2 linked regions of the Xenopus tropicalis genome follow. The protein of the gene in region 2 binds, or shares a complex with, the protein of the main gene of each other region. Links are inferred from orthologs where the notes say so. Each region holds a gene or a part of one and is shown on either strand. Other genes may lie near its edges.

Region 1 (3,822 bases), on a different chromosome or scaffold from region 2:
TGTGCTGATCTTCATCCCAGAAAGGAGGGTAACCAACAAGTAAAATGTACAGGATAACCCCTAGCCAAGATTTAGAGAGAATAAATTTGTCAGTATTCAAATATTGCTTTACCCTTAAACTATATGCGTATAACTGCTCCCACATTTATAAAATAGGATTGAGAAACTTGCCTCAGGTGGCAGGTCCCTGCAGGTTACCGGGGGCCAGAATCATCTATGAATATATAATAGCAATTTAACTAAGATCTTTATGGTTCCGCAGCAATGGAATGCAGCACCAGCAACAGAACGTGAGTGACTGGCCAACAGGCTAAAAGTACTGCATGGTCAAAGTGATGACTGGCACCCCTTACAGCTATACACCCGACATATCATTATTACACATTGGCACTGCTTCATTGCAGTCCATGTAACTGAGTTACCTCTGAATACATTGGTACTGCAGGTGACCTAAAATAAAACCTCAATTTTACATACTCTGATTTTAAATTTTCTCTCGTTTTACATTATTATTTGTGGTCCCACCAATATATAATGCATTTTCCTGCTTTAAATTTTTCCTGGATTTTACACCATCTTTTCTGGTCCCCTGGTGGTTCCACTGTAATTTTAAAAAGTCTTGCATCAGCTGCATTGAATAAGAAGTGATCTATACCCTCTAAACCTCATCAACAATTCTTTATGGTCAGCTGCACTGAATTTAATGCATGTGGTCAAGTTATTTAGAACTATAATTGTCTTTAAAAAGAAATAGTAGGTTGGTTGTGAGTTTGCATTCTGATGAATAAAAGAATCTTTTAGACTAACTTAGAAATTGTTTCTGCTTAGGAATGTTAAAAAAAGAATCATTTGTTCAGTAGACATTTTTAACAGGAAGGGTTAAAATCTTTACCACAGGCCCAGAGATCCACAGCCTTTCCATAGGGGTCTTTCCTTAGAACTTCTGGGGAGAGATAGCCGGGCGTTCCTGCAAAGCCTGTGAGAACCAGATACATGTCAGTCTCCAAACCATGATGCTGCCATGACCCCTCGATAGGGTTTTTAGGGCAAAAATTTACAAAATACAAATAACTGATAAAGTACTATTTAATAACAGATATTTGTAGTATTTATTTTATTATCTGTAATGACCCCATCCTATCACCCTTCATTTGAACTTTGCGGGTTTGTACTAGGGATCTCGCAAGAGAACTGAGCATTAAATTGTTCCTTGGTAGTAATAGTCTGGGTGGGCAAGGATATCATTATTATCATCAGCATATATTGACAGCACATTTTGTAGAGCTTTACAATAATATCACAATAAACAGTGGGCCTTACAGAAAATAGCAAAGGTTAGCTCTGTACTTCACTTACCAAACCAAGCCTGTTGTTCGCCTTCCACCTCAATGGCCAGCCCAAAATCTGCCAGTTTGACAGCTGCTCCCTTTAGTTTTGAAGCCAAAAGAAGGTTCTCTGGCTGTGCAAGGGAAAACAAAGGAAAACAATTAAAACAATGTGTAATTTTCTAAAACAGATAAAATAGCAAACTGCAGCAAGAGTTTGTTGCTGTTCTACCAACTTTTTTATATCATGGTGAATGGAGGGAAGAATGGAGAGAATTGGAGAATTCTAGTTACCAACTGCCACCTAGAATAGAGATGTGCATAGGACATAGGTCCAAGGGTCAGGCGGCTTAGAGAACATTTTGAGCTTGGGGTTGTGGTAGGTTATTTTGTTTTCTGAAGGACTGAGGAGGGAATGGGCAAAAAACACAATCTGCTTTCAAGTAGCTTGGCCTGATTATGGCAGGTGCAGCAGTCATCATGATAAAAGATCAATGTAGGTGCACCTTAGTGCTATGGCAGAGGGAAGCCAAGGACAGTCTTGGTATAAAATTGCACTTTGGGTAAAAAAACAGAATGAATTGGTATGTATGGTATTTAAAAAGGAAGACTGTGATGAAAGAACAGAGTGTGTGATGGCTCTTTACTGCAGTTGCACATACACCATGTTGTAGATATTGGTGTAGAAACACCCTGATGAAAGAACCAAGGGAATAATTTTATTACATTATTGCAATATAGTACATGTAGAAACATCATACAACCAGGGAAATGGAATATGCTCTCAGTATGCAGAATGTGTAGGGGAAACATGATGAAAGAAAACTGGAGTATGGGGTGTGTGACCAATGAGGAAAACTGGAAAGACCCAGAGAATGATGCAGGCAAACATGTACACAAGGGTGTCTGTATAGAGGCAACTGCTGGATTCATACTGCCGCTACCCTCACCTTCAGATCTCTGTGCACTACCCCCATCTGGTGACAATGCAAAACTGCTTCTAGAATCTGCTGAATGCAATGGCTGCAAAAAAGAAAGCAAAAACAGGACATTACATTGCTCTCATTACGTTAATAGACTATTTGGCAGTCCCAGAGGTTTCATACTATACTCCGCTAGAGGCTTTGGCCTTGGTTAATTAATAAAAGAAAAATACTGCACATTAATGAACACTAATAGCACATATGGCCATTTGCCCTGACTTTTCTATACTAAACCAGTACCCCCCCCCCCCCCATATATAATAAAAGGCCCAAGTGCTGTCACCCATAGAAACTAATAAGATTTTTTTTTACACATGTAATCAGAAACTTAGAGCCTTTTATTACATTTCCTCGGTGGAGTTACCGATGTCTTACCATATTGGGCAATATTGGAAAATTGGCATATCTGCTCAGTGGTTACCCAGAAACACAGGTTTCATAACCATTGGGATTTACGTTATTTCACATTGTCTACAAAGATAACCAATCCCTGTCATTGTAGTGAATGCTGCCAATCTAGGCCAGGACTGGCAGTCTGGGGATTCTGGCAAATGCCAGAGGGGCTGCTGTTAAGATGCCATAGACAGTTACTATTTATTTGACCAATTGGGTCTATGTGTAATTGAATGCCAGGATCTGTTTCGAATCCCAGTCCAGACCTGTGCCATTTAAAAACAAAAAGTAATCCCCAGGATTGGCTTAGTTACTCTGTAGGTTTAATCATTTCCAGATAAAATGAGAATTGGTCCTGTAATCTGCAGCCTGAGGCATCATTTGTATGCTTGTAACCTGCATAGTGTGCATTTTGCACCCAAAACAGCCTTCTGTCTTGTTAAAGGAAAACTATACCCTCAAACATACCCAGTAGTTCTCTATAAAAATATATTGCATAAAGCAGCTCAAATGTAAAACTCTGCTTCACCTAAATAAACCACGTTTATAAAAATATATTTTTTAGTAGCAAGTTCCTTTGGGTAAGCCAAAATTACCATTTTAAATACTAAAGGCTGGCCCCACGGTGTACACAAATAAACCAAGGGCACACATACTCGTTATGTCACATCAGCCAATTAATAGACTGTCTTTTACTCCCACACTACTTCCTGTTACACCTGCATGATTTCCTGTCAGGTGATCTCCGAGAGAGCCCACAGCCCATCACTAAATGGTGGTTCAAGGGAAAGAATGTAAAAGGGCAATATTTACTGATATATATATATATATATATATATATATATATATATATATATATATATATATATATATATATATATGTATTTCAGTTTGGTAAGATTCTTTAATAGGCTAATTAATATGATATAAACTATCTGTTGGTGAAGAATTTATTCTGGGGGTAGAGTGTATCAGTCAAAATATACTACTGGGTTTTCATTAGCTACTCTGGTTTCTAATCACACTATTAAACTTACCAGAAGGTTATTGGCTCCTGATAATATTATCTCTGTAAAGCTTCAGCACACATCAGAAAGTAATAATAACACTGTACAGTGCCA
Region 2 (4,607 bases):
CTACAGGTGACAAGCCTTGGGCAAACTTTATACAGTACATTTAGCTCCACAGCAATACCGTGAATCAAAGATTGGATGGCTCACTTAAACATAGTTGCCAACTTGCACAAGTGCTGTTGCCTATAGCAACCAGTCAGGACTTTACTTGTATTTTCTAAGTTGTTGTAGACTCTGATTGTTGGCTGCTGGCAACTGCAATTTAGTACCTATGCTCATGAGTCAGCCCCTTAGTCCCAAATGTCTCACTGGTATTAAATTAATTAGATTGTTAAAGAGCACCAGAGATTACATAGACATATATCACATTGATTTAACTAGTTTAAGGTTGGGGTGTTTTTAGCTAAGTGATGACACAATCTTTGTTAAATGACATACATAATGATACACATATGATTATATACAAACACATAATTGGTACTGTATTGTTAATAAGGCGCAGAATTTTGAACATATTTGTCATTCAAATTCTCCACCATTCACCTTTTAGGCTAAAGCACTGCAGAAAGTCAGCAGTAAGACCTCATTCTTGCAGTAGGACATACACACTCTGTATTTCTGTCCATGTGGCTCAGGGTCACTTTGGCTATACCCACGGGTACACTGTTATGGATATTATTTTGCACGACTTTGAAGCTGATGTAATCAAACTTTCCATAAAGGACTAAAATGTTAATGGGTTCTCTAGAATGATTCCAATGGTTTGAAAGTGGAGCTGCAAAGTAAAGATACAGTAAATACAGTAATCAATAACTACAGTAAGTGCCTAGAGTGTTCCTTATCCAATCATTCAGCAACTATACAACACGCACACACAATAAGACATTTTATAAGTAAATATCGACAGAGGGCAACCTGTTACACAGTAGTCTTAATACCATTTAAAAAAAGCTACTAGTTAGAAAGGATATTATGCAGGAGATATTTAGACTGTTTCTCCATTTGTACACAATGAGCCAAATCTACCAGTCAGGACATTAGCAAACATACTGATTATATAAAGAGCATGCCATGTGCTAATGTTCAAATAAAATATTGAATTATTACCCTTTTTTCACATGCCTGAATATATGCTAAATACAATACAAATTTGGTTTCTCATATAATGTCTTCTGTTTGTGGGTCACATGGTAAAATGCAAAATGTTATTTCTAAGATTTTTTTCCTCCATATATTGTCATAAATACCTTTTTAATATATCATTTCAATTTAATTCTTCTACAAAATGTGTTTAAGCAGTGAAGAGGTGGGCACGGTTCCATAAATCCCCATGCAGTTTTTATATATTGTATAGTAAGACATGAAAATGTGGGTGACTGCAGCATGTGGAGTGCAGGATTGATCACTTAGGCTCTGCATGCGCATTGATTGCCTAAATCCGTATTCCATATATAGAAACACAGGCCCAATGGGATTTGGGAAGAAGCACGTCTTTCTACCACAGAAGCAAAGGATGGTAAGGAGGGGGCAGAGTGAGAGAAATGAGCTTTCATTTGGTGCTCACTATACAGGTTCTTTAAATAGAAAACGCATTCCCGTGGTAGCTCCTTATTAGCTATATACCAGTTACCATCAGTCAACTGTCAAAGGCATGGGAACCAGACAGAATCTCCTTCAGATTTACTGATACAAGCATACTGCACTAAAGCCCAACCTAAGCATGTAACAAAGAAAGAGAAAACCAAGCCTTTTTGCCTAAATCTCTGAAGTAGGTTACAAGAATTTACAAGAGCCAGTTGAGCAGGGCTATATACAGTTAAAGCCCAGACCATTATTAAGAATACTGCAATCTAAAAAAGTTTATCTATTTATATGCATAATGATCAGTTGGCATGGGAATGTGTCAGTCACTACACGCATAGTCAAAAGGTCACAAAGCAGCACACATCAGTTCTCCATGTTCTGACCTCTCCACTATCCTAAGCTCTAGCCAGAAAGGTTACTATAAGCACACTCCAACATTACTATATGGCAGTGATACCCAACCTGTGACCCTCCATCAAAACTGCATTTCCCAGCACACCCAGGTAGTCAAAAGATGCCTGAGAATGCTGGGAAATGCAATCAAGCAACAGCTGGAAGGGTGCAGCCTGGGCATTCCTCACCTTTCCCAAATGCATGCAGTAATCACAGCTCTTCTTATTCCTCCTGAAACAATGGGAAGCTACATATATAGCTTCAAATCACAGAACAGTATTTACCCATAAAATTATCTGCGGACCAGACGTGTTAATAGTTACAAAATTACAATTCACATACACCAGTGTTATATTTGATGCTTTCTCCATTGCTTTTGTGTTCTATGAAGTGCAAATTAGGACTGTTGCCATATGGCATTTTGCCACCTTTCATTTATGGAGGAGGGGAGGGGGGTGAATAATGTCACTTTCCAGCTTACCTTAACTGTAGCTAGGCAGCAGGTACCCTGCTGTCAGATGTATTGCTATTTCCAGCAGCACCATATTTGAATGATCATAACTACAGCATACCCAGCAGTAATATGCACATATTCATCATGAATAACACACAGACATGTGAAAAACCTGCAGAATATTCCTTTGCACTCCAGCTGATTGCACCCCTCTACATGACATGGGAACCCTCCTGCATTGGAATGGGGGTTCCAGCCAGTAGCCCCCAGCGCCGGGCTGATAGTCCTGTCAGGCAGGGAAACTTGGCTGGGAGAGCGCACAATACTCACATTGGAGGGACGATAAATTGCCCATTAGGCTCCAGCGAAGCTTTGCGGGCGCTATTCCTAGGGTCTCCGGGGTGCGGGACGGGAAGGAACTGAATCAATGGCAGCGGCGGCAGCAGCTCATGGTGCCTAAAAGATGCCCTTCAGGTGCGAGCATGGGATGCCCCCCATAAGGCTGGCAAGAGCAGAAGTGTGCACGTAAGGGCTCACACAAAGTCCACTCAAAGGCATATCACCAATCCATCCCAGTGACAGAGATCAGGGCCAATTTGCCAGCGCGTTAGTTAGATCGCACACGTGATTGCCAGACCCCGTGTAGCCTCTAGTCCATGTCTGCCTCGAACGATCTGCAGGGAGCAGCACAGATGGGAATCCGAAGCGTCTCGGCTCATCCTTCCCTACCTCCATACAGGTGCATCACTCAAGTATCGCACCCTGGGATCCAGCTCCCAGCCCTACTACTCGCAGCATAGACCAGCGACTAGGAAATCAGTTCCAGTGCGCAGGAAGGTGCAACAAACCAAAGCTATAGCCCCGAACTGTCAGACTACAAGCAAGAACCTGGCCCCGCCTCTCTACCTGTGTTTGCTGCAGCGGGAAGACCAGTGCTCATTAAAAGCCCATGGAAGCGGCACAACTCACAGAGCTCGGGCAGAACAGAGTGCGCTAGTCGCTTTAGTCTGCCCAGCAAAGCGTCAGTGTCGGGAAAGCCTTGTGGGCGTGGCTTCATTATGCGCAGGCGCAGGCGGGGCCGCAGGTTCCTAAAACATGAAGGCAATGGGGAGCTGCTGTCCTAGGTGCTGACATGCTCTCCTGGGCTGAGTGAGGGACGTACGCCGGCAGTCAGGGCTGTTCTTTTGCTCAAGTCCTCTTTTAGGACTATAACATATGTTGAATGTATTATTAGTATGCCGACAATTTAGCCACAGTTCAAAGAACATGTAAGACAGCATTCACCCCAAAGCTTACTCAAATTTACCCTTAGCCTGCCAATGCTGCACACGGGGATCAAGAGGAACAGACCCTCAGTTGGAGAATCTATTGCTTAAATAGATGTTAAAGGAGATAGTGTGTGAAAACAAGATTGTGCCAGTGCATTATACTCCTCTAAATTAATTAGGACCTCACTGGCCCCCCCTGTGACTGCAGGATCTGCTTCCTATATAGTTATGCCACTGAGCCCCACCTATCTGTGCCACTTCCTGCTGTCTCCTTTCCCAGGCTGTGCAGGGGAGCCGGTGGCACTCAGCACACTGCACTGTAGGCCTGTCATTGCTTGTGTGACTGCTGGGCTGTGATTGGCTATTGCCATCCTACTGTGCTTCTGGCAGGTACTGTTTTGGCATGCCCATTCCTCAATGGAACCAGAGATGGTCTATAGGGAGCTCCAACAATACATAGATAATGATCATTTTAACCCATTGTGAAACCAGCACCATATATAATTTATTATAGGTGGTTTCCAGGTCTGGACTGGGATTTAAAATAGGCCCTGACATTTCAAGTACACAAAGGCCCAAATAGCCCCCCCCCCCTCAGCCCTATAAATTGTCTGTCTGGGGCATCTTACAACAGTACCTCTGGCATTTGGCAGAACCCACAGATTGCCAATCCATGCCTTTGGGTTTCAAATTATGCTATATGTCTCCCTTAAACCATCCAGTAGCAGCCCAACATATATTTACAGTTTAAAACAGTTCTTCAGAGTGCACAAGGTATGGTCTGTGAGTTGGTACAGTAGTATTAAAATCAGAGAACATATGGGGGGCAGTTTATCAAACTGTAAAAAACAGAGATAAAATACACCACACATCTTTGTCTGATTGCCAAGCCTTGCCACATAAAACAGCATATTTATCAAGCAATATATTACTTGTCAGAGTAAATTTTTTTCTGCATATTCAAATCAGCA

The links.
Region 1: the proteins of lrrc7 (region 2) and camk2a are in contact, whole or in part, in a crystal structure (PDB 6X5G), measured with the Homo sapiens proteins. The link is inferred for Xenopus tropicalis from reciprocal best matches to the Homo sapiens genes LRRC7 and CAMK2A. Residues at the interface, in NP_001357714.1 of Homo sapiens: His843, Gly844, Arg845, Arg846, Pro847, Leu848, Ile849, Arg850, Gln851, Asp852, Arg853, Ile854, Val855; in NP_001350919.1 of Homo sapiens: Glu96, Phe98, Glu99, Ile101, Val102, Lys137, Glu139, Leu159, Phe173, Ala174, Gly175, Thr176, Pro177, Gly178, Tyr179, Leu180, Ile205, Gly209, Tyr210, Pro211, Pro212, Phe213, Trp214, Tyr222, Gln224, Pro233, Glu236.

Annotation. Positions count from the first base shown.
Region 1 is NC_030679.2:21,001,246-21,005,067, reverse strand, and holds part of camk2a (calcium/calmodulin-dependent protein kinase type II subunit alpha), read right to left. Parts: intron 2,349-3,822; coding exon 2,276-2,348; intron 1,460-2,275; coding exon 1,357-1,459; intron 977-1,356; coding exon 893-976; intron 61-892; coding exon 1-60. UniProt on the Homo sapiens protein: Calcium/calmodulin-dependent protein kinase that functions autonomously after Ca(2+)/calmodulin-binding and autophosphorylation, and is involved in various processes, such as synaptic plasticity, neurotransmitter release and long-term potentiation.
Region 2 is NC_030680.2:83,029,720-83,034,326, forward strand, and holds the start of lrrc7 (leucine-rich repeat-containing protein 7), read right to left. Parts: upstream 2,862-4,607; 5' UTR 2,724-2,861; coding exon 2,699-2,723; intron 1-2,698.